Linked DNA regions of Kluyveromyces lactis. The protein of the gene in region 1 interacts with the protein of each later gene in a pairwise test. Links are inferred from orthologs where the notes say so. Each region holds a gene or a part of one and is shown in the gene's direction. Other genes may lie near its edges.

Region 1 (3,211 bases):
ACTTAAGAGTGGGAATCTGAATCAACAATCGCAATTGTTCTTCAAGGTTTTCGCCAAGACGTTACCCGAACTGTATCAACCCATCACTGATGAAGGCGCTTTGCAAGGTTCCAAGAAGGCTACTTGGTTGTATTGGTGGATCAAATGTTGTGGTTGCAGAGTGTTGCATCGTCAGGATAGAGGAAGAGTATGGGATGTGTTGCTCGGATGGAGACCACGTCCTGAATCAATCAACTATTATCTCGAGTACAACCATAAATCATTTGAAAGCATTTATCCACCTGAATTGAAACTGAGTTCAGAGATTTTCCATAAGATTTGCAAATGTGAACATGATGAGTTTTGGTTCCCAGATTTGATGTCGTTAAGGCTCGGTCAAAATGGATTGAACCAAGATGAAGATGTCATTCGGGAATTGATACGAAGAAATAAATATGGGGACGATGGTCATACTACAGAAACACAAGAAAATGAGATTCCATATTCGCTCTTGAACCCTCATGCGGAGTTACTTTTCATATATGTTGCCATTATGCAACATAACGAATTTAAACTTTTAGAGTTTGAGGAAACAGAGATCACCGAGTTCTTAAATAATGTCCCACTGATATCAAAATTCGATGACTACAACTTCAAGAAGATGTACGAGGATGATGACATTAGTGGAAGTTCGACAGACACAGATGAATCCAACGCTTCAGGAATTAGACCAAGTTCTTCAAATCATATGATGATAGAGGTCGGTACTGACGATAAGACTGCACACTCGTTTGATGACATCTACCAGCAGGCTGGAGACATCTGGAGAAATTGGGCTTGGCAGGAAATGGAAGAATTCATAGAAGAATGATATATCAGCATTATATTTGTGTCTTTCTTGTATGTAGTATATCTTCTTTTCCTTTAATTAGCATATATATATATAAAAATACTATATACATCTCGAGCTCTATGAATATTGCAGATTGTATTCTAACCTGTTGGAGCGTTCTAACCAGCCAACTAAGATGTGAGTTGATTTGTTAAATAAAGTCATTTCTTCATCCAGTATTTTTTTGCATGTTCAAAAGAGAAACGAAAGCATTTTTATTTAACATTAGAAAACCAACATAAATGTTACATGAAAGATGAAGCACCGATATACATAATTAGATAATGGCTTCAAAAAGGAGAACCTTGGGGCTTACTTCTGGTGAAACTACTTAAGGACTGGCTAAATTGAGGTACGCTAATTATGTTCTGTGCAATTAGTGGGAAACCACCTATAAAAGCTGTTCTTTCACCTAATTCCAAATGTATATTTGAACAGCATCTAATCGAACAGTATATTGAACAGAAAGGAACAGATCCCATAACGGATGATCCATTACAAAAAACAGATTTGGTTGAAATCAATGCGACTCCACAGCAGATATCACTTTCAGAATCATTGAGCTCGTCTACTATCGCAAACAACTATAGCATTCCAAGTCTATTGTCAACTTTGCAGAAAGAATGGGATGCAGTAATGCTCGAGAATTTCGAATTAAGGAAGCAGTTAGACGTTTGTAAAAAGAATCTCAGTGATACACTTTACAGGTTTGACGCTGTTGCATCAGCGGCAGCAAAAGCTTTTGTAGAGCGAGATCAGCTGAAGCAAGAATTAGCAGAACTTACATCGGCAATAACTTCCTCGAATGTCGAAAATGATGGAACTATTGATAAACTCCAGAACTCAGACCAAATTCTATCAGACTTTACTTCAGAATTATCGACGAAATCTCAAGAGTACGTGACAAATTCCAAAAAGTCTAAGAAAAAGCTACAACACTTCTCCAACGTTTCAGTCGTTCAATCGACAGATTTCTCTGAAATTGATTTGATTAGCAGAAATCAGCATGTCAATCTTAATGAAAGATCTGTTGTTGTAAAAGATAATGACAAAGCTTTTGTGTTTGGACCTCAAGATTCTATTCTTGATGTGTCACAAGCCACAGAATATCTGGTGGAGTTTAAAGACGTTCTATACACCTTCACCCAGGGACTATTAGCAGCGTATGACCTTCATACAAAGTCTTTGTTGTATGAAGAAGTTTTGGAAGGAACTGATGGGCCAGTGATATTTATGGCTTATCCTCATCAAATATCGGATTCTTACTTCTTATTCGTAACTGAAAGAGGTACAATATATGGGTATGAAGTTACCAAAAAAGCACTGTTCACCATCTCACAAGTTAAATTGAACGATTCCGTTCAATTTGTGAATTATCATAAAGATGGAGCTCTTCTTGCTATTGGTAACCAAAACGAAGGTGTATATGTAATAAACCTATTGGCTGCTACAAAAGATCCGATTAAATTTTCAACTGGCTTCCCAGCTAAAAGAGTAGACTTTGGTTTGAACGGTTATTGGATGTTTGTCTTTGGTGATTCTGACTTGAATGTTTACGATTTAAGAAAGGATCCAGGCACCTTGGCAATGGAACCACTTTCTTTCGCTGAGAATATCATCAGTGTGGAGTTGGACGATACAGCTAAAGGTTTTTTCGTAAGCATGGGTAATTCACAAGTACAATGGTATGAGTATGTTAAGGGACAGTCATTTGTCGAAAAATCTACTCTTCCGATCGAAACAAATACAGCAGAATCCATGACATTGGTAAAAATAGATCAAGGATATTTCTTGAACGTCATCTCGGAGAATAAATGCATAACATATGAGTTGAAGTAGATATATGATACTTGTCCTAAATAAGGTATAAAAATTGTAATTATTAGAATAATCACTGATTTGATGGTGAGAGTCGTTAAATATATGATCCGATAATACGTCGAAAAATGAACATGTATGAACTCGCCCCCATATATGTACGTGATTTCATCGTAAAAAGAAGTGAAAATCATGCTCTTTAAATATCGAACTGTGTTTGTGTTTTTCTTGCAAGTGAATAAACGGGAAAGAAGATGGCATTACAGAATATGAAAAAGGGATTACCCCGAAGAACTCTTCTTTACCATCTGCTAGTCATGATTGTAGTTGGCTTTTTTGTTTTAGTAATTGTTCGATGTCTTCCTTCATACTTTTCGGTTTCGTCAACGTGGAATACCGTCCATGGACTCTCCCTGAGCGATCGATCAAAAACTTCTCAAAATTCCATCTAACGAACGTGAACCCAAACATTCGCGGTTGTTGATCTTTCAAGTACTTATATAGCGGAAGAGCATTGACACC
Region 2 (2,477 bases), on another chromosome or scaffold:
ATAACATCCAAGTAACTCGTAGGGTTAGCACCGTTTTTAGTTGTAACATCTAATGCTATAGTTTTTCTATTGTCTTCAGAGTTTTCTTGAACAACTGCAGTAGAGAGTAGTTGAATAGCTTTGATGTTCTGTAAATCCTTTTGGAATAGTATAGCATTGTATAACAAATCCACAAGATATATGGTATTATCAGCAGTCAACAATACACGGTTTGAAGAAACTGGTTTGATGGATACAACTGCATCCTTGGAAATGAAAGGTAGCTGAATGCTAGTTTGTAGTTGCAAATGTGGTAACTGATAGATTGATAATTCATTTGAGTTCTTTAAAACATATAATTTCCCGAACTCAAAACACAACTTTGCATTCTCTAAAGTGTAATTTTCTAGTATGATAGAATTTAGTTCAATACATGAGACGGACTCACTCCTAACTTGGAAAAGTTTGTAACAGATTTTCTCATCACTTAGTTGGCATAACACGAAAAAGAAATCGTTTCCCTGCCCATCTTGGAAGAATTGAACAAATCTGATATCATCATAAGATATATCAATAGTATTTGAAAGTTTCAATTCATAATCAAATGTTTGAATCAGTCCATTCCTTAAGATAACGAGAACTTTCTCTGCTTTAGAATAGATCTTAATGCTAACGACTTCAGATTTTAGTTTATATTTGAACTGAGATGTGATTTCAGCATTTGAAGATGACACGGCATCTTGAATCATCGGCTTAGTAGCCAAGTGTAAATGTGATACCTTTCTAGCTTCCAATCCGTAACACCAGACTTCTGTATTGGCTGCATCTTCTACCACGTCACATGCAGTAACAATGTTCGTAGAGGGGATTGGCAAGTTAAAAACCAGCTTCGGGGTTGGATTAATCAAGTATTGTGATATACTGGAACCTGATATACCAATATTCACTTTATTGGCTGATGGTGAAAGATTATCAACAACTTGTAAGTAGTCTGTTTGATTCGCATAATTATTCAATGATGGAATCTTAGGTAGAGCAGAGAGCCTAAAAGGCTGTGAGATGGATGCCATTTTCTCAATATCTTTCGATAAATAATATCAAAGCAAACTGTATTGAACACAGGATATTTGATACTTCACCTCGTCCTTTCAAGAGCAGCGGTTGAGTGTATCTTTGCACTTACAGCTCATCGCATCTCATCGCATCTCATCTCTTCTTCTGAGTACTTCAAATTTTTCAAACTTTACTTTTGGGAGTCAGTCCGGGTAATATATAGTGTCGAAATGCAAACAGAAACAAGATGAGATGCGATGAATATACTCAGATATCTTCCAGGTGACAGAAAGTGTAGCCCTTATTTGAATGCCACAAATCACATTGTAAACTGGACACAGGCTGATAATAAATATTCGAAGATGAATGATCTAATGGAAATTGAAAAAAAGTTGAAGAGTTTGCGGAAACAAAAAGTGGAAGTAAGTATAAGGAATAAGAAGGCCATAATAGCTGAAGAGAAGAAAAACTCTGAAAGAAGAGTATACAGTATGGCTGACGATGGCGAAGATAAAGCTAGAAGTAACAAAAGCGAACCAGAAGATCCGATAAAATTGGCAAACTACTCAATACGCGAATATGAAAAATGGGAAGCTAAGACACAGAATTCAAGACATAATAAAAGCGTGATGGGGGACTTCCAAACTATAGCAAAGAACAGCTACAAGAAGGAAGTAGATGCGCTTCCGAAGGATATATCACATCCGTTGAAAGGTGGAATAACTGAGGATGGGAAGGTTCAAGTAGAAGATAATCCTGAACTAGTAGAAAAAATGGTGAATGATTTGAACGAACGATCAAAGAAAAGGTATATGGTACGGAAACAAAAACTAGATAAACAAAATAAGATCAATTTGGATGATGGATTTATTAATGACAAGAATAAACGGTTTAATGCAAAATTGAATAGCGAGTTCAAATAGGCATGGGAAAATAGGTATATTGGGCATTTACATATGAGATATTTACGATTGATTATGAATAATTATTTTATTTTAACGATATATAGAGGTGGATTTCTTCATTTGTCTTCAGAATCTAGTGAGTTAAGGACTTCTAGATCTTCTTCTAAGCTCTTGACACATTGCTTGTAATGGATCAATTGGAAATTATGGAACAACTTAACCAAAGAAATGATCTCAGAACTATCTGTAAGTTCTCCCAAGAATTCCACAGTTTCTGAGGTTGCAGACACGAACTGATCTTCTAATCGTTCGAAAAGCTTAGAATCAGGATCTTCTTCTGTCTTTGCCATATCAACTGGTTCCTCATTGGTTTTCTTTTCGGGGGTTTCAGGGGTTTCAGTTGCGACCTTTTTTTCAGCTTCCTCAGAGGATGCTACAACCTCTTTTTCCTGCAGCTTCAATTTAATTTCATGACGTAAAGTATCAAAGTTCAATCTTGCATCTTGAACCTTAGCGCGCAATTCGTGACCTTTCTTGAAA
Region 3 (4,048 bases), on another chromosome or scaffold:
TAATCAGAGCTTCTACTTGTGGGCCAGATTGTTCTTCTTGTTCTTGTGTGTCGGCAGCTTCTACGCCAGTTTTGGTCGCTTCTTGAGAATCTGGTTTACCTTCAGACTCAGCATTTGCTTCATCTAATTTCTTCTGCTTCATTTCAGCATCCAACTGAGCAGTTTGAATCTGTTTCTTTTCTTGCACTTTCTTCAATCTATAAAACTCTTCTCTATCCAATTCGTCTAGCTCGGAGTTGATATAAGCAATGGTGTTTTCCGTTCTTGGAATGATCACATGTTCAATGGCATTCACTCTACGGTTGGTAACTTTGATAACTTCGTCCAAGATAATGAAAGCCGTTTGTAACGAAGCCAATTCAACTAGTGTTTCAACAGCCCTTGAGTAAATTTCCTTAGCACGCTGAACTTGTTGACCACCACGACCTAGACCTGTCATTTTGAAGTCGTTGATGTTGGAGTCGATGAATGATTCAAATTGAGGCAAGTACACACCACTCACGTTTTCTTGCGTGGCCCTAACTTTGAATCTTGCATTGGCAACATTCTCTTGAACTTGGTACCCTATATTTTCACCTGTAGCATATGTGACCTCCGCCAAAGAGAACGCAGCTGTTTGCATCACTCTGCCCATCTTCTGCTTTGAATCATCTATTCTTTTAGTGATATCACGGAATCTCTTCGTTAATGCTTCAGACTTTCTCTTCAACAAAGAATAACCCTGATTAGCACCCTTTAACTTAGTCTTCATAAGACCCAAGGTCATACGAGTGGGGAAAACCTGTTCCCTATTACTAGACATTTTTCGATAAAATTCAAGATGCTAGGAGTGAAGTCGTTCCTTCCTTGCTGTAATATGTTATCAGTACGCTTAGTACCAAACTCACCTGATTGGTACAGTAGAAAAACAGTTCTTTTCAAAGAAAAAGCAAACGATTACAAGTAAATGTGTTCCAGGTTGGATACTTGTCAGTGCCAGCCTAATTGCAACGTTCTGCCCCAGCTGATATATGCCCCCCTTTTCTACCTTTCTTTCGTCAAATGATTGAATGTCTTATATTTCAGATATTTTGAAAATTGGTTAATTTCGAAATTTAGATATTATTTCATTTACGGTGATATGTCAAAACGTTTAATGAGATGAGTTACAATTAAAGCTCCATCTAAGGTAAAGTTAGTGCACTGTTTTTCCACCAGGTACTGCGAGAGACATATGTTTCGATGGAAATAGATAAATTTGTCAAGGAGGAAGATATTCCGTTTGAGTATGGTGTTGTTAGAGAAAGAGACAATGCTGTATCATGGTCGAGATATTTGGCAACTAAAAGATCAGCAGGCGATGAGTTGAATTTAGATTGGCTATACGAACGTTGTTTGAAGGAGATCAAGGACGACTGGCATCTATGGAAAGAGTTCTTGAAATGGAGGATAGAATTATTGAACGATTGTGATATTTTCAGGCACAAAGATGAATACAATAAGATATCGTTACTATTCGAACAGTGCTTAACATCATGTGGCAAAGTTGGGGATGCATGGATTATGTATATGGAATGGGTAATACAGTTTAAGGATTTGAAGAGGATTAGAGAACTGCTTGGAAAAGCGCTACGATCAATGTCGTGGGAGTACCATGAAGCAATATGGCGTGTTGTCATCGATTTCATTATCAATGAATTGTTAATAGACAACAAGAGGTATGAACTTTCTTTAGAGGATTCCATCTACTATTTTGTTCACGGAGAGCATTCGACGAATTTTGATACAGACCTCTGGTCTTCCTCAATCCTACAGAGATATTCACTTATTTGTGACGACATAGAGCCTTTATTGATCTACATTTTTAAGACTCATGATTGGAGCACGATCGTTCGAGTATTTGAAAAACATCTATCACCTAATTTAAAGCCATCTCAGACAAGTTTATTTGAACTTTACGTTAGTTACATCACTTCAATGATTCTTGTGGATAATTCAGCAGGGGTTGCTGCGGTAGTGGACCAATGTATCGAATTATTCCCTTTCAAGAAGGGTGAACTTAAGACATATTTGATATTTAACCTGATACGTCAAGGAAAAATAACGGAAGCTGAGCTGTACTTAGAGAAAGTTATAAGCGAAACTAAAGACATTATCGAATTTTCTGTATTATATGATTTTTGGATTCGTATGGAGGAGCTATTGACCCAAGAATTAATTCAAAAGATGAAAGACGATAATTCAGAAAAGCAACGGCTGTTCGCAAATATAAGACTACATGCCGACACTCTAACCTCATTAATAAAAAACCACACTATTAGATTAAACGACTTAGAATTGAGGCGAGAACCCAACAACATCAAATTGTGGCTAGAACGAGTGAAGCTTTTTGATACCATCTCTGATAAAGCTAAAGTTTATGCAGATGCTGTTCTTACCGTGGACTATAGACTTCAGACTACTCCAGGGCTATTAGGAGAATTATGGTGTCAATATTGCAGACTTTTTGAAGAGGATATTGAAAAATCCGAGGTCTTGCTGGACAAAGCCACTAACGTCCCTTTCAAATTTTTAGTAGATCTTGAAAATGTTTGGTTATATTGGTGTGAATACAGACTAAAAAGAAGCATTGACGATGCCATAAAAGTTTTGTCCGTTGTATTAGAAATACCAGATAATCATGAATTACTCCTACAAAAATTTGAGAAAGGAGAATCGCCAGCACAAGCAGCAATTTTCTCATCTAAACGCTTATGGGCAATGTACCTTGACTTATTGGAGGTCAAAGGAAACTATGGTACAGCTGTAAATGCGTATGAAACAGCAATACTCATCAAGGCAGCAACACCAGCCATGTTTATTAATTATGCGTTATTAAATGAATCTTCTGGCCATCAAGCAGAAGCTTTGGCTGTTTTCGAAAGGAGTGTTGAGATTTTTCCTCCAAGCGTATCGAAGTCTATTTGGGATATATATCTGGATGTGGCACTCAAAGCTGATATCACTAAAGAGCAAAAAAGAGATATTTTTGAATCTGCTATTAAGCTTGCAGCTTCAGGAGTGGCATGTGTTTCGTTCTTTGAAAAGTACAGCGACTTTGAGTTAAACCTTGGTTTCCACGAGAGAAGTGTCGAGATTTTGCACAAAGGAGCCAAGAATATTTCGGATCTTGAAAGTAAATGTACTTTATGGGAAGAATGCATCAATAGAAGTGAAAAACAATTGGACGTCAATCACACCAGAAAACTATATGAAGAATGTATAGAAACATTGCCCAATTCTAAAGCAATCAAGTTTCTACTTCCATTTGCTATCTTAGAAGAATCGCGTAATGAGGTTGCTCGTTGTAGAGCATTGTTAGACTACGGGAGCAAATTACTGAAGCCCGCACAGAATGAAGAACTTTGGGATTTCTGGAGGAATTTCGAAACTATGCACGGTACAAAAGACTCGTTCAAGAACATGCTAAAAGCACGTAGGTTCCTAGAGGACACAATGAAAGTAAATACAGAGGAAGTATCCAGACATGCAGATAGCATCGAATTTAGGGCGTCAACTGCGAAAATTAGTGGAAGCGGACCACCAAGCGCAGAAGATAAAGGATACTCAAATACGGCTGAAATTGATTTAGGTCTATAAAATGGATATATATTGATTAAAGTTGATAATGGCATATCGATCAATCTCTTATGTTTTGTTTTGGAAGATGTCGTATTGTCTTTCTTTGATGACGTGTAACATACAAAAACACTAGTATCTTACTGTTTTTCGACCCAATCAGTTGAACTCATGTGGGATAATCTACTTAGGGCTCTTGCAAATGCAAACCGTTCTTCATCTAATGCGAAAATCTGTGCTTTTTTGGCAATATCCTTAGAAAATCCGTGTTTACTGACCAATTCATCCTCTACTTCAGGTTCATCTTCATGTTTCATTTGATCTGCTGGTTTAAGCTCATAGTCGTTGACAATATCTTCTGGTTCCACGAATAGTGAGGTGAAGTCATCTGCACCAGTGGTAGCTAATTTACCACCGTTATCGTAAACTGCATCCAAGAATGTAATGAACC
Region 4 (2,454 bases), on another chromosome or scaffold:
TATCCCAAATGAGAAAATTGATATAGAGTATAATCATGACCACCGAAACTTAGCTCGTATTTATGTTCACCATCAACCATCTTTTCATTAGGAGGGAAACTTGGCTCGAACACAATTTGAGTAGAACCACCACCAAGATCGAAAACAGCTGCCGTTGGTAATTTAGAACCAGCGCCAATATTACCCAACAGATAGTTTGCAGTGACCCAAGCGTAGACACCTTCTTCCTCACCATCCATAATAGAAACACCATCTCCATCGACCACTGGGAATGGATAATCCTGTTCCAAATGTTTACGAACTTGTGCCAAGATCTTTGAAGATTTTTCATCACCCAACATTCTCAAACCTGCGGTTGCCTTAACTGCAACAGGCGTACAATTTCTCTTATCCTTTGGAACCGCATCCATAGCAATTTTCAATAAAGGATCCAAGGACTTAGCGGCTCCCACAGCATCGATATCGAAACTAGATAGACCAGGCTTCAACATCTCGAAAGTTTCATTAATCAAAGTTGGTGGTTGGGTACAAACGTCAAATTCATACACATGTACACGACTGCCAGTAGAACCGGCATCAATCATAACCACGTACTTATGACCCTCAGTACACTGAGATTTGGAAAGGGAATTGGAACCAGATTCCAAATTCTGGGATGTGTGGTCTTTGGCTGTTTGCTTTTGTGAATCCTCATTGATATTTTGACTGATTGGTGAAGAAGCACCAGGAACTTTTAGCCCATCTGGTGTGTCGACTTTATTGGAGTTCGCCAATGAACCAACTTGTGGAGATGCTGACGACCTTAGCAAAAGAAGCAACATCAAAGCAGTTAAGGCCCCGATGAGGAACCTATAGTTCCTAACCACAGAATTGATGTGCATCTTTTTTTTTGATTTTAGTTATGATTCAGATTATTCTCGCCGTAGAAACCAGCAAATGAACACAGCTATAAACCCTGAATATTTGGAGTGACCAACGAAAGCTTTCTAGTAGATCAGATCGCGTTGCCCACGGAATTTATAGCACTGTTTAATCTGTAACTATCTTGTCGTCTTCTATCTGTATAGATTTCATGTTATTATGTTTTTTTTATGTTGACAGATATTAAGAAAAGATGAAAGGACATGAAATAAAACTACAAGAACCAATCCCAAAGAAGAAAACCAGAGAGTTAAATCGATGATTATACGGGATATCGAGGTAAAGAAAGGGCGAAGTAACGATGAGTCGTAACGTGAATAAAGCGAACTCTGTTCTCGTGCGATACCAGGAGCTACAGGCTGCCGAAACCGGTGGTTATCAGGATTTTTCGCGGTTGAAAAGACCTACCAGGATCAATAAGGTAACGAAGTTGGATGAAGCACTTCGATGGAGAAACGAGCTTGTGAAGGAGATAGGTCAACGTGTGACACAGATTCATGATCCATCGTTAAACGAGTCTCAAATCACGGAAATAAACGATGAACTCAATAAACTATTCCAGGAGAAGGGCAGATGGGATTTCCATATCAGAAATAAGTTAAAGGGTCCAGATTTGAAGAAGAGGAAGCAGTTAAATACCACAGGCGGAACCCTCATAGATGGGAAAAGGTATTTCGGTAGAGCTTTAGAATTACCAGAGGTTCAAAAATTATTGAGGGAATCCAAGGAACAAAGAGAGAAGGAAAGAAGTGGGAAGGAAAAGAAAGCGGAGTTGCAGAGGAAAATCAAACGATGGGAAAGTACATTGAAAGACGACTATTTTGTAGGAAATAACAGTGATGAACTTCTTGAATATGAGAAGAAACGTACTGGCTCACTTCGATCAACTATTCATTCTTCTGATCGGGACCCTTCTTTTGTGATACCAAATTTTGACGTTCCATCCTTAAAAGATGTCGAACTTTGGTTGGTGCAAAGAAGAAAGAATGAGTTAAAGAAGCAACTCGGGTTGTAGTAATCGGAGCTACGAGAAGTTAGGCTTTAGTATATAAGGGGAATGATATTTATCATAGTTGTACTATATACGCTTTTAATGATTGCCTCTCATATCCACAGCATGACGTTTTATTCTATTCTTATGAATGAAAATGATGATACCAACCAAAGATTAGTAAGTTATAATAATATTGTCAACTGGCTGGTTGAAGGTTTAACTAGCCTGTGAGTCATGACTTGGTAATTTAAACAACTGTGTCCCTCTGGCAAACAGTTTAGACATTCGACGAGTTGAACTTTCCTTTGGTCTCTCTGTTGCAGGTTCGCTAGGTATTTCGACAGGCTGGTTAAACACCCACGATTTCTGCTGACTATCAGTTCTCACATGGTTGGAAGAATGTGGTGAAGCAACAGTGCTGTCATTCCAGATGCTGTGGAAGGATGGCGAAAATGCCGTATCAGGCACAGAATGCATGCTTTTAGAAGGAATTACCATCGGTGATGATGCTGGACCATTGTTCAGTGCTGACTGGAAAG
Region 5 (3,749 bases), on another chromosome or scaffold:
CCAATGCCCAAGGGTTCAAATCAGTTGCCAAATAAAGTCCATTGGCGTTTGGTATACCATTTTGCATAAGAAACGTAGAGACTATCCCAGAACCAGAACCAATTTCTATAGTCAATGGTACTGCGTCATTGAACCTGTTATTCAACCAACTCAGATCAGCTTCTAATGCATCTAATAAAAGAAAAGAGTCCTCGCTTGGCTCGTATACTTTATTATAATCATAAGAGACGTATGGTGTAGCTAGCATCGCCCTGTTATCCTAAGCCCTGATGAGCTATAGCTCGCATCAATATCTGTTCTGCACCTGTATCTTTTCAAACATGGAAGTCATCGCATATATAATATTGTATTTGAAAAGTTGATATTGAACAATAACGTATGCAAAAGGTCATCTAAAAGAAAGTAATTAAATTGAAGCTTAACAACTAGTCTACTGTTTGATACAACTATTAATCACCATTTTCAGAGAATCGACAATCAGTTGCTTGTTTGTGGTTGAGAAAGATGCAATTAAAGGTCAAGACATTAACAGGGAAGGAAATCTCCGTAGATGTTCAAAGTTCAGAAACGGTCTATCATATCAAAGAGCTATTAGAAGAAAAAGAGGGTATTCCACCATCACAGCAGAAGTTGATCTTCCAGGGCAAACAAATGTATGTTAATTAACTGATAATTCAGAACTGAGAAGAGTTTGATATCAAATTAATGTAGGGACTCTTTTACTAACTAGTAAGTAATGCTATCTTTAAATCAGAGATGATAACGCAACAATCGGCAGTGCCGACTTGCAAGATGGATCTCTTTTACATCTTGTTCTAACTTTAAGAGGCGGTTGTTGAGAGCCATGTGTCATTGCATTGCGAAACCTCAAGATACGTATGTGTATAAGTATTTTGCAGATAAATACCTGGAGGAATTACTCTGCATTTAATAAAACGACTATAATTATTGGAAGCTAACACTATGAATGACATAATTTACATTTACACGACCGTCCAATTATCAAACAAAGGAAGGATGTAACACATGCTTGTTGCTTTTCCTTGTATGCATGAATGAACCTTATAAATACATAATGATTCAGATATCAAATTTAGTGCGAACATTATAATTGTAGAAACAGATGAACTTAACGACAACGATGCAAACAAAAGTAAGAAAAACACGGATAACTTACCTGACTATACTGTAACATGGGTGACAATAGTTTATCCAATGAAGCCATCACTGCCGATAATATTTTGAAGGATGCCTTTAGCCAAAAGAAGCAGATTGCAGCTACTACGAAGGCAGATATATTAGATTTGGAAGAACTGAAAGACTGGCAACGAAGGAAAAGAACAGAGTATGAGACAGTTTTGAAAAGAAATAGGTTAGACCTTCGTCAATGGATGAGGTATGCTCAATTTGAATTTGATCAGAAAGATATACGAAGAGCTAGGTCCATTTATGAACGCGCTCTTCTTGTTGATCATGGGTTTATTCCACTATGGATTCAATACATCGACAGTGAAATCAAATGGAAAAATATCAACCATGCAAGGAACTTGTTAGACAGAGCAACAAACGCTCTTCCTCGTGTTGATAAGCTCTGGTTCAAATATCTTTTATTGGAAGAATCTTTGGGAAATCAGGGTATTGTACGAGGCATTTATACAAGATGGTGTTCATTTGAACCTGGTCCCGATGCATGGGACTCCTTCATCGAGTTCGAAACAAGGTGCTTGAATTTTGAAAATGTCAGGAACATTTACTCGAAGTTTGTTCTAGTCCATCCTCAAATAGATACCTGGTTGAAATGGGTTCGTTTTGAACAAACTCATGGAGATATATCATCCGTACGAACAGTGTTCTCATTCGCGCTAGACACACTCACAAGTTTCAGCGGAACACCACTGGTAGATATTGAACGAGTTATTGGTAGCTTCGCTTCCTGGGAAGCTTCTCAGGGAGAGTATGAACGATCTAGAACGTTATACCGACTAGCAGTTGAAAGATGGCCAATTTCTGAAGCATTAAAGGAACAGCAGATTCAGTTCGAGAAGAAGTTCGGCTCTTCGAAAAATATGGAGGACATAGTAATCGCTAAAAGGAAAGCCGAGTACGAGCAATATCTAAAATCAGATCCCTATCATTATTCTACTTGGTGGGTCTATATTGACCTGGTTGAGGAAAAATATCAAGAGCAATTGACATCAGCTTTCCAGTCGTTCATTGAATTGGCAAAGCCGAAGTCCCTGGTAAAGGATTCGAGCTGGAAGAGGTACATAAGAATCTGCGTACGATACTTGGTCTATCTAGAGCTCACCATTAATGATTTGCCTACGATACGCTCGGTTTATCAAGACATCCTCGACATCATTCCACATAAGAAGTTTACATTCGGTAAACTGTGGATAATGTATGCAGAATTCGAAATTAGGCAGAACAACTTGCTGAAAGCAAGAAAAATTCTGGGTGTGAGCTTAGGAAAGTCCCCCAAGCCAAAAGTGTTTAAATATTACATCAATTTGGAGATAAGGCTAAAAGAGTTTGATAGAGTGAGAAAGCTATACGAGAAATACATCGATTTCAATCCTAGTTCAGTGCAATCATGGTTGGATTATGCAGAATTAGAAGAAAATTTAGGAGATGAAGATAGATCAAGAGGGATCTATGATATCTCCATGAGCAATAATGTTGGATTATCTGAATCGGACCAGCTGATTGTCATTCAGCGCTATATCGCTTTTGAAACTGATGCAGCAGAATATGAAAAGGCTAGAGAGTTGTACGAGAAGTATTTGATTTTGAGTAGATATGACGTGAACATATGGATAAACCAGGCGCTTTTCGAGAGCACTATTCCAACTGAGACCCAACTAATAGCCTATCAACAATCTCATCAAGACGGGAATTTTGACGACGATGGCGAAGAGGAGTTCAGTTTTGAAATTACACCTGAGAATAAGCATCACACCAGGGCTATTTTTGAGAAGGCAATTTCATATTTCAAAGAACATAATGAAGATAAGAAACGCCAGCAAGTTTTACAATCTCTCCTGGAGTATGAGAAAGTTCATGGTAATCAAGAAACTTTGGAAAAGGTCAATGCTAGACAACCAAGTTTGGTTAGGGAAAAAGTTACTATCGATAACATTGAGCAAGAGTCATATAAATTGGATTTTCCGGACGATCGTGTTGCTCAACCTCCTATTGCTCGAAATCTTCTAGCTTTGGCAAAACAATGGGAGAAAAATTCCAGCTGATATGTAACTTTATATTCATATACAGATAATACAATTGTAGATTTAGAACACGCATTTAATCAGGTTGGCATATAGGCTATTGAGAAAAAATACGAATTGTATTAATTATTCGTTTCATTATCGGTAAAACTTTGTGGCAACTGGTTTGACGGTATCGAACTGGGTGTTGATATCGTAGAAGGGGTAAGCCCAGGTGCATTCATTGTCGGTACAGATCCTGGGGGCATTAATCCTGGAGGAACGTTGCCTGGTGCTGCTGCCAATCCTGGTGCTGCCAATCCTGGTGCTGCCAATCCTGGTGCTGCCAATCCTGGTGCTGCCAATCCTGGTGCTGCCAATCCTGGTGCTGCCAATCCTGGTGCTGCCATTCCTGGTGCTGCCATTCCTGGTGCTGCCATTCCGGGAGGAGATAAACCTGGGGGTGCCATTCCTGGAGTAGCAATATTTAAGTTTCCTTCAGTGATACCTATTCCAGACGTTGAATTTTCTGCAGCCAGAGAT
Region 6 (3,219 bases), on another chromosome or scaffold:
AACAGTTACTAGCTACGAGTTTTCTTTAATTTGTTTTATCCTTTTTCTCAACATTGCATGCGCGAATAGTATTTTAACAACAAAAAGCTTCAATTCTTTAATTAATTGTAAAGGTAAAGACGTTTTCGACAGTAGACTGATTGAATGATGATTACATTCTAAAACACATACGTACTTATATATGGCAGTGAGGATAAAGGCAGTTAATGTCCAGTAGTTGAACACATGTGTTGGATGACTTGTCGTTATCGTTAATCATCATCCTTCTTTACTATTTCGGTTTTTTCCAATAGTGTAGCGATCTCTGTTGGTTTATAGATCTTCTGGTATATCTTCCCCTCGGCATCCTTGCTGATGGTAGCGAATTCTAATCTTTCGTGGGTCAACACACTTGAATCTGTAGTCTTAGATAGAGTCTTTAGGGCTAGTTCGATGGCCCCATCCAGAGTGATATCGTCTTTATAATCCATTTGTAGTAAAGTTTGAGCAGCTTGTGTGTTGGCACCAACAGAGATGGCTTTCCAACCGGAATAGTTACCAGATGGGTTCGAGGTATACAACTGGTACCCGTATCTGTCATCATAACCAGCATAAATGAACGAAACACCAAATGGTCTCAAACCACCATGCTGAGTATACCCTTGCTTCAAATCGGATAACCTTCTTACTAACATTTCAACAGGTATTTCCTCATTATACGTCTTCAAATAGCTCTGAGCCTGTACTCTGGCTGTATTTATTAGAATCTCAGCATCTGCAGTTAACCCAGCTACTGCAACCGTAATATTATCGTTCAACTTGTACAATTTCTCACTTGAAGTATCTTGTTCTAATAGTTTCGATGTCACTTTTCTTTCAGCTGCTAATACAATACCTTGTTCAGTCATGATACCAATCGCAGTACCAGCATGTGAAATGGATTCTAAAGCGTATTCAACCTGGTATAATCTTCCCTCTGGCGAGAAAATGGTTGTTCTCGAATCGTATCTTCTGGACCCCATCTGTTCTGACTTCTTAGTTGTTCTTTATATTCTCACAGACCAATTACCTGTACGCTCACAGAAATGCTCTTGCTGCTACTTTCGATGAACTTTAGCTACAAGTTTAACTATCTGGTTGAATCCAATTGCTGTTCAATCTCTAGTTTCAAAGGTTTGCCACTGGATTTCTTCTAACTTTGATTGTATTTTATTTCATTTTAAAGGTCGACATTAAAAAAAAAATAAAAGAACGAACCTTTGTTTAACGGCTCTTCAATGGATTTTCTTAGTGAGAACAACCCAGTGTACGAGGTGGAAGACCTGTCTCAGAGATGTTATTTGCATTGCTGCACCTGTCTGTGAAAGTAAAGTTTTAAAGTTTTAACTAAATTGGCGGAGAGCCCATTGTTCCTATCTGAATCAAGTATGAGCGAATGGAAGCGATTTAAAGATCCTTCGGGGAATTTCTACTACTTCAATACGAGGTCCAAGGTATCCACAAAGGAAAAACCAAAAGAGTTCGGAAGCCAGCAAGCTGGTATGAAGGAATTGAGAGTGCCAGTGTTCTGTTTACCTCTACGAAACTACTGGAACCTAGTGATTTGTAAAGATGGTTCCAAATTCTTTCACAACGATGAATCTAATGTGTCCCAATTCAAACTGGCGGATGATGAGAGTAAAGCTTTGTTGGATAAAGTTGATACATCTCTTCTTGCATTGCTTATAGGTGTAGCACGAGGGTTCAATCTTCGAAATGACCGTGACGTTTATGGAGAGATCAGAGATGTTTTACAAGCAAAACTCGACAGTAACGACAAAGAACAAAACGATATCACTGAGGAGAGACCACAAGTAACAAATTCTAACGTGGACACGGAAGATAAATCCGAATCGAGTAATATTTTAGTTTCTGGTTACTCTTCCTCATCAGATGATTCTGGTGAAGAATCAGAGGTAGAAGAAAAGAATGATCCATCTTCTATAGATGTTAAAGAAGAGGATACGCTACCGTCGTTGAATAACACGGAAATAGAATCTAAGTTCATTCAATTACTTAATGAAATTCAACTAGATCCTTACTCAACTTGGTCGATCCAAGCAAAGCGGATAATGCATGATCCACGCTATTATTTGATTACTTCTAATGACAAACGGGATGAACTATTTCAAACGTGGTGCTCTCAACAGCTCAATAATTCAAATAATGATAATGAAAATAATGCACAAGATTCAGCTGAAAACTCAGATGAAGAAGATTCAGACGTTACTCTAGAACCAACAAAGTATCACTACTTGGCACACATTATTTCAAAAGCGAATATCACTCCTGAAACCCTATTCTCTAATATCAAGAAAGAAAATAAATCTCTTTTCAAAGAACTGGAAATCAATAAAACTCTTACCAAGAAAGAACAAGAACAGTTTGCTTCCAAGGTAATCGCCTATTACAAAAGAATGGATAACCTACAGCGCACTGAATTATTCAAAAAGATGATGAAAAATAAACTTCGGTTTCCTCCGATATCGGAAAAGTTATCGCAGTTGATGCTAGAAGAGACACCGTCGGACTCTTTTAAGTTAGAAACTCAACTACTTCAATTGGAGAACGCGCTACTTATTCTTGATAATCTTCAAAATTCCTACATGCAAAATGAAATTATGTACTATATTCTGGGTATCAAAGACAAACTAGCCGCTCTGAAAGAAATACTACGAGATCAGTATTCTAAATAGACATTTCATCACACTCTTCCTCTGCTTCTTGCTGCCGAGCTTCTAATATGTCTAAGTAATCAATATCAAAGACCGCCAAAAATTCTCTATGCAATGATTGATGCGTTCTGATGTCCAGTGGCAGAATATGATCGTGGTACTCCAAAGTTATCCTTCCGTGAATAGGAGTTCCTTCAGTCAAAGGATATTTCTGAAGAAGGTGACGGAAAACTTTGTCAACAGGCTGTCCATCAAGAGATTGAACTGGTAGCATTCTGGAGAACCTTTCAGACATAATGGACGTCTTATCACCATTCTCAATGCTTGTATCAGTCTCCGTATCCCATCTGTCATCTATGTCACTTAGTTTTAATTTATCAAAATCTACTGGCAAAAGCTGATCATCAGGGTCAGTATTTGGCCGATCATCTAACCCCTCGGTCCCTAGATCAAGAACTTTCCCTAAAGCCTTCGATTTCAAAAGAGCATACATGGAACATGCTTCAGCAGAAAACGTCGACCATTG
Region 7 (3,223 bases), on another chromosome or scaffold:
TGGTTTACTGCAGCGACATTAGGACAGCCGAATCAATCTATCAAAACTGTGATGGCACAGAATATGAATCTACAGCCAATGTCTTTGATTTAAGGTATGTGCCTGATGGTATGGAAATGGATGATGATCCTCGTGATGAATGTACCTCGCTTCCAAAAAATTACAAGCCGGCACAATTCAGTACAGATGCCCTTCAGCATTCCAAGGTAAAGCTTACATGGGATGAAACTCCTGCAGACCGTGTGGAAATATCTAAAAGAGCATTCACTCAAAAAGAAATTGAAGAAATGGACTTTAAAGCTTATTTAGCCTCCGATAGTGAAGAATCTGAAGTTGAGCATGATGATCAAGTTAAAAATAAACTCAAGGCTTTAGTAATGGATTCCGTAAAAGTGGGGCAAAAGTCACTATTTGATCAAAAGGAAGATGAAGACGATAATGAGGCTGATATGGAAATAACTTTCACTCCAGGCCTGGATGAGTCTGGCCAACAAGATACCAATGATAACGAAGAGGAAAGCACCATTGATAAGATTAGACGTAAAGAAAAAGAAAGACGTAAGAAGAGAAAGGACAGAGTCAAGGAGCTTAAGAAGGAATCAGAAGCCAAATTAAAGGAGAACCTTAAGAAGAAGAAAGATACTTCTCACAGCATCGATGACGATAAGAAAAAGGGAGAGTTAGAGCTCTTAATGCTAGATGAAAATGAGGGTGAATCAACAATTAACAACAAGGCACACTTCAACATGAATGAGATTCTCAAATCTGAGAAGGAAAAATCCAAAAAGGCCAAGTATCAAAACAAGGAGAAGATTGTGGATGATGAATTCACTCCAGACGTTAATGATCCAAGATTTAAAGAGGTCTTTGAAGATCACGATTTCGCGATTGATCCTACTCAACCAGAGTTCAAGAAGACACCAGCTATGGAGAAGATTTTAAAGGAACGTACAGTACGTTCAAGCAAAAAATCTAGGGGCAAAAAGCGTAACCACGAAATTGCAAATACTGAACATAGTAAAGACATAAATAAGATCGGCGGTTTAGTTGAAAAACTTAAGGCCAAGAACAAAAGAACAAAACACTAATTTGCAAACTTGTGGACACTTTATATCAACCCAAAGACGTCCACATCTTATATGTATATATTCAGCATTTGATTAAAGCATAAATACATCATTTCACTTAATCATGCGACTGTATCATGGCATGGTCTGTAACTTTAAGTCATTTCCTTATTTATCCAGATTTGTACGTCATATTCTGTGTGTGAACAAAAAGAAAAAGTGCACATTATCACATTATATGAAATAGGTTCATCTTTCTAAAGATTATCTAAAATTGTAGGTAATACACGGACAAACCGATAAACTTACTAGATAGACTCTGCCACTGCCATAATATCCAGGGAATAATGGGGCTGGTACAGGGTTATGAAAGTGAGAGTAGTGATGATGGCTCATCTGTAGCTGTGCCTAAGAGATCGTTAAAAACATCAAAGGCTGAATTGAAGTCCAAAAGACTTAGGAGGAACGGGAAAGGACCATGGGCAAAATGGCAAGGATCTAGTGACGATGAGATCGAACAATTATCAAAGGATTCAAATGCTTCTAATTCCTTAGATTTAGGTGGTGATGAGGATGCAGTGGCATCACAATCACTTGAAAGAACGAAATTTGTAGGCAGTACTGAAAAAGACTATCTGGGAAGATGCATTTTACACCCCCCAGTAGATATTCCATTAGAATTCAAGAAAGAACCACTATCATTCAGGTGCTTCCTTCCGAAAACCAAGATAGCAGAATACTATGGGCATAAGAATGGTACTACATCATTACGATTCATACCGAAAACAGGACATCTCTTACTTTCAGGCGGTAACGACAACATAATAAAACTATGGGACTTTTATCATGAGAGAGAACTATTAAGAACGTATGAAGGTCACTCTATGACTATAAAGGATTTGAACTTTACAGATAATGGACATTCTTTTGCCAGTGCATCATTTGATAAATGGGTTAAGATCTGGAACACCGAAAAAGGTATAATTGATAAAAGATTGCGTTTCAACTCTGTACCGAACTGTATTACATTCCACCCAAAAGACAAGAACCAACTAGTGGTAGGATTATCCAACTCCGAAATACGGCACTATGACTTGAGGCTATCAGAAAACCATGGGGAAGTACAGAAATATGATCATCATCAGGGTTCTATTTTGGCACTAAAGTACTTCCCTGATGGTAAGAAGTTAATCTCGTCGTCAGAAGATAAAACGGTCAGAATTTGGGAGAACCGAATCAATATTCCTATTAAACAAATCAGTGGCACAGCACAACATTCTATGCCATGGATCGATATTAATCCACAGGGTCAGTCTTTCTGTACACAAAGTATGGACAACACCATCTATACGTACTCAATGTTACCAAAGTATAAAAGACACCCAAACAAGACATTCAAAGGTCATAATACTACAGGTTATGGTATTCATTTTGCATTTTCTCCTGATGGCCAATACATTGCATCTGGAGACTCTAAAGGTCAGACGTTCATCTGGGATTGGAAAACTACCAAATTGTTAAAGAAATTTAAGCCATTTTCAAATAACCTGCCAGTAACCTGTATTGAATGGAATCCTCAAGAGACAAGTAAGTTATGTTGCGCTGGTAATACCGGAAAAATTGCCATTCTGGACTAATGAAGAATTGAGATTCTTTGAGACATTATTCTTGGTTTCGGCACAACCTTCGATAAGGTTATGTAGATATACTTAATGATTACATATAAATCATGCATAAAAGGAAACGGATTTAGACTTTCTTGCCTGTACTTCACCGATAGCCTCAACGAAATCTTCGTGCTTGATTGTTGATTGAGCGTTTCTTAATGCGATCATACCAGCTTCGACACTAACGGCTTTCAATTGAGCACCATTGAATTCATCTGTAGATCTAGCGAGTTCTTGCCAATTGATAGAATCATCAGTTGTCATTTTTCTGGAATGAATCTGTAGAATTTGAGCTCTTGCATCTTCTGTAGGGAGTGGGAATTCTATTTTTCTATCAAGTCTACCAGATCTTAATAAGGCCGGATCTAGAACATCAACACGATTGGTAGCAGCCAACACCTTAACCCGATCATCAGAGCCAAATCCATCCAATTGATTTAGCAACTCTAACATTGTTCTTTGTACTTCTCTATCACCAGATTTTTCGGA

The links.
Region 2: the proteins of PRP19 (region 1) and SYF2 interact in binary tests that used the Saccharomyces cerevisiae proteins (3 or more experiments, as listed by UniProt). The link is inferred for Kluyveromyces lactis from reciprocal best matches to the Saccharomyces cerevisiae genes PRP19 and SYF2.
Region 3: the proteins of PRP19 (region 1) and SYF1 interact in binary tests that used the Saccharomyces cerevisiae proteins (3 or more experiments, as listed by UniProt). The link is inferred for Kluyveromyces lactis from reciprocal best matches to the Saccharomyces cerevisiae genes PRP19 and SYF1.
Region 4: the proteins of PRP19 (region 1) and ISY1 interact in binary tests that used the Saccharomyces cerevisiae proteins (3 or more experiments, as listed by UniProt). The link is inferred for Kluyveromyces lactis from reciprocal best matches to the Saccharomyces cerevisiae genes PRP19 and ISY1.
Region 5: the proteins of PRP19 (region 1) and CLF1 interact in binary tests that used the Saccharomyces cerevisiae proteins (3 or more experiments, as listed by UniProt). The link is inferred for Kluyveromyces lactis from reciprocal best matches to the Saccharomyces cerevisiae genes PRP19 and CLF1.
Region 6: the proteins of PRP19 (region 1) and URN1 interact in binary tests that used the Saccharomyces cerevisiae proteins (3 or more experiments, as listed by UniProt). The link is inferred for Kluyveromyces lactis from reciprocal best matches to the Saccharomyces cerevisiae genes PRP19 and URN1.
Region 7: the proteins of PRP19 (region 1) and CDC40 interact in binary tests that used the Saccharomyces cerevisiae proteins (3 or more experiments, as listed by UniProt). The link is inferred for Kluyveromyces lactis from reciprocal best matches to the Saccharomyces cerevisiae genes PRP19 and CDC40.

The regions. Positions count from the first base shown.
Region 1 is NC_006040.1:327,124-330,334, forward strand, and holds PRP19 (E3 ubiquitin-protein ligase PRP19), read left to right. Parts: upstream 1-1,234; coding exon 1,235-2,710; downstream 2,711-3,211. Other genes in the region: OCA5 (Oca5p), read left to right, coding at 1-850; KLLA0_D03905g (glutathione peroxidase), read right to left, coding at 3,005-3,211. UniProt on the Saccharomyces cerevisiae protein: Probable ubiquitin-protein ligase involved in pre-mRNA splicing.
Region 2 is NC_006041.1:412,755-415,231, reverse strand, and holds SYF2 (Syf2p), read left to right. Parts: upstream 1-1,289; coding exon 1,290-1,955; downstream 1,956-2,477. Other genes in the region: UTP8 (Utp8p), read right to left, coding at 1-1,049; KLLA0_E04621g (uncharacterized protein), read right to left, coding at 2,054-2,477.
Region 3 is NC_006037.1:178,028-182,075, reverse strand, and holds SYF1 (mRNA splicing protein SYF1), read left to right. Parts: upstream 1-1,221; coding exon 1,222-3,618; downstream 3,619-4,048. Other genes in the region: VMA8 (H(+)-transporting V1 sector ATPase subunit D), read right to left, coding at 1-802; AFG1 (Afg1p), read right to left, coding at 3,738-4,048. UniProt on the Saccharomyces cerevisiae protein: Involved in pre-mRNA splicing and cell cycle control.
Region 4 is NC_006042.1:1,550,005-1,552,458, reverse strand, and holds ISY1 (Isy1p), read left to right. Parts: upstream 1-1,222; coding exon 1,223-1,936; downstream 1,937-2,454. Other genes in the region: GDA1 (guanosine diphosphatase), read right to left, coding at 1-881; GTA1 (Gta1p), read right to left, coding at 2,132-2,454. UniProt on the Saccharomyces cerevisiae protein: Involved in pre-mRNA splicing and cell cycle control.
Region 5 is NC_006042.1:1,644,399-1,648,147, forward strand, and holds CLF1 (Clf1p), read left to right. Parts: upstream 1-1,193; coding exon 1,194-3,248; downstream 3,249-3,749. Other genes in the region: MTQ2 (S-adenosylmethionine-dependent methyltransferase), read right to left, coding at 1-247; NEDD8 family protein RUB1, read left to right, coding at 505-653, 755-839; mRNA splicing protein MSL5, read right to left, coding at 3,350-3,749. UniProt on the Saccharomyces cerevisiae protein: Involved in pre-mRNA splicing and cell cycle progression. Required for the spliceosome assembly by promoting the functional integration of the U4/U6.U5 tri-snRNP particle into the U1-, U2-dependent pre-spliceosome.
Region 6 is NC_006041.1:356,289-359,507, forward strand, and holds URN1 (Urn1p), read left to right. Parts: upstream 1-1,406; coding exon 1,407-2,714; downstream 2,715-3,219. Other genes in the region: PRE9 (proteasome core particle subunit alpha 3), read right to left, coding at 252-1,001; CCR4-NOT core subunit CAF130, read right to left, coding at 2,707-3,219. UniProt on the Saccharomyces cerevisiae protein: Component of the spliceosome involved in mRNA processing.
Region 7 is NC_006041.1:1,891,110-1,894,332, forward strand, and holds CDC40 (Cdc40p), read left to right. Parts: upstream 1-1,414; coding exon 1,415-2,704; downstream 2,705-3,223. Other genes in the region: pre-rRNA-processing protein ESF1, read left to right, coding at 1-1,088; proteasome regulatory particle base subunit RPT5, read right to left, coding at 2,795-3,223. UniProt on the Saccharomyces cerevisiae protein: May function in the second step of pre-mRNA splicing. Regulatory protein involved in replication and mitotic spindle formation and/or maintenance. Required for initiation and completion of S-phase and for initiation and completion of DNA replication.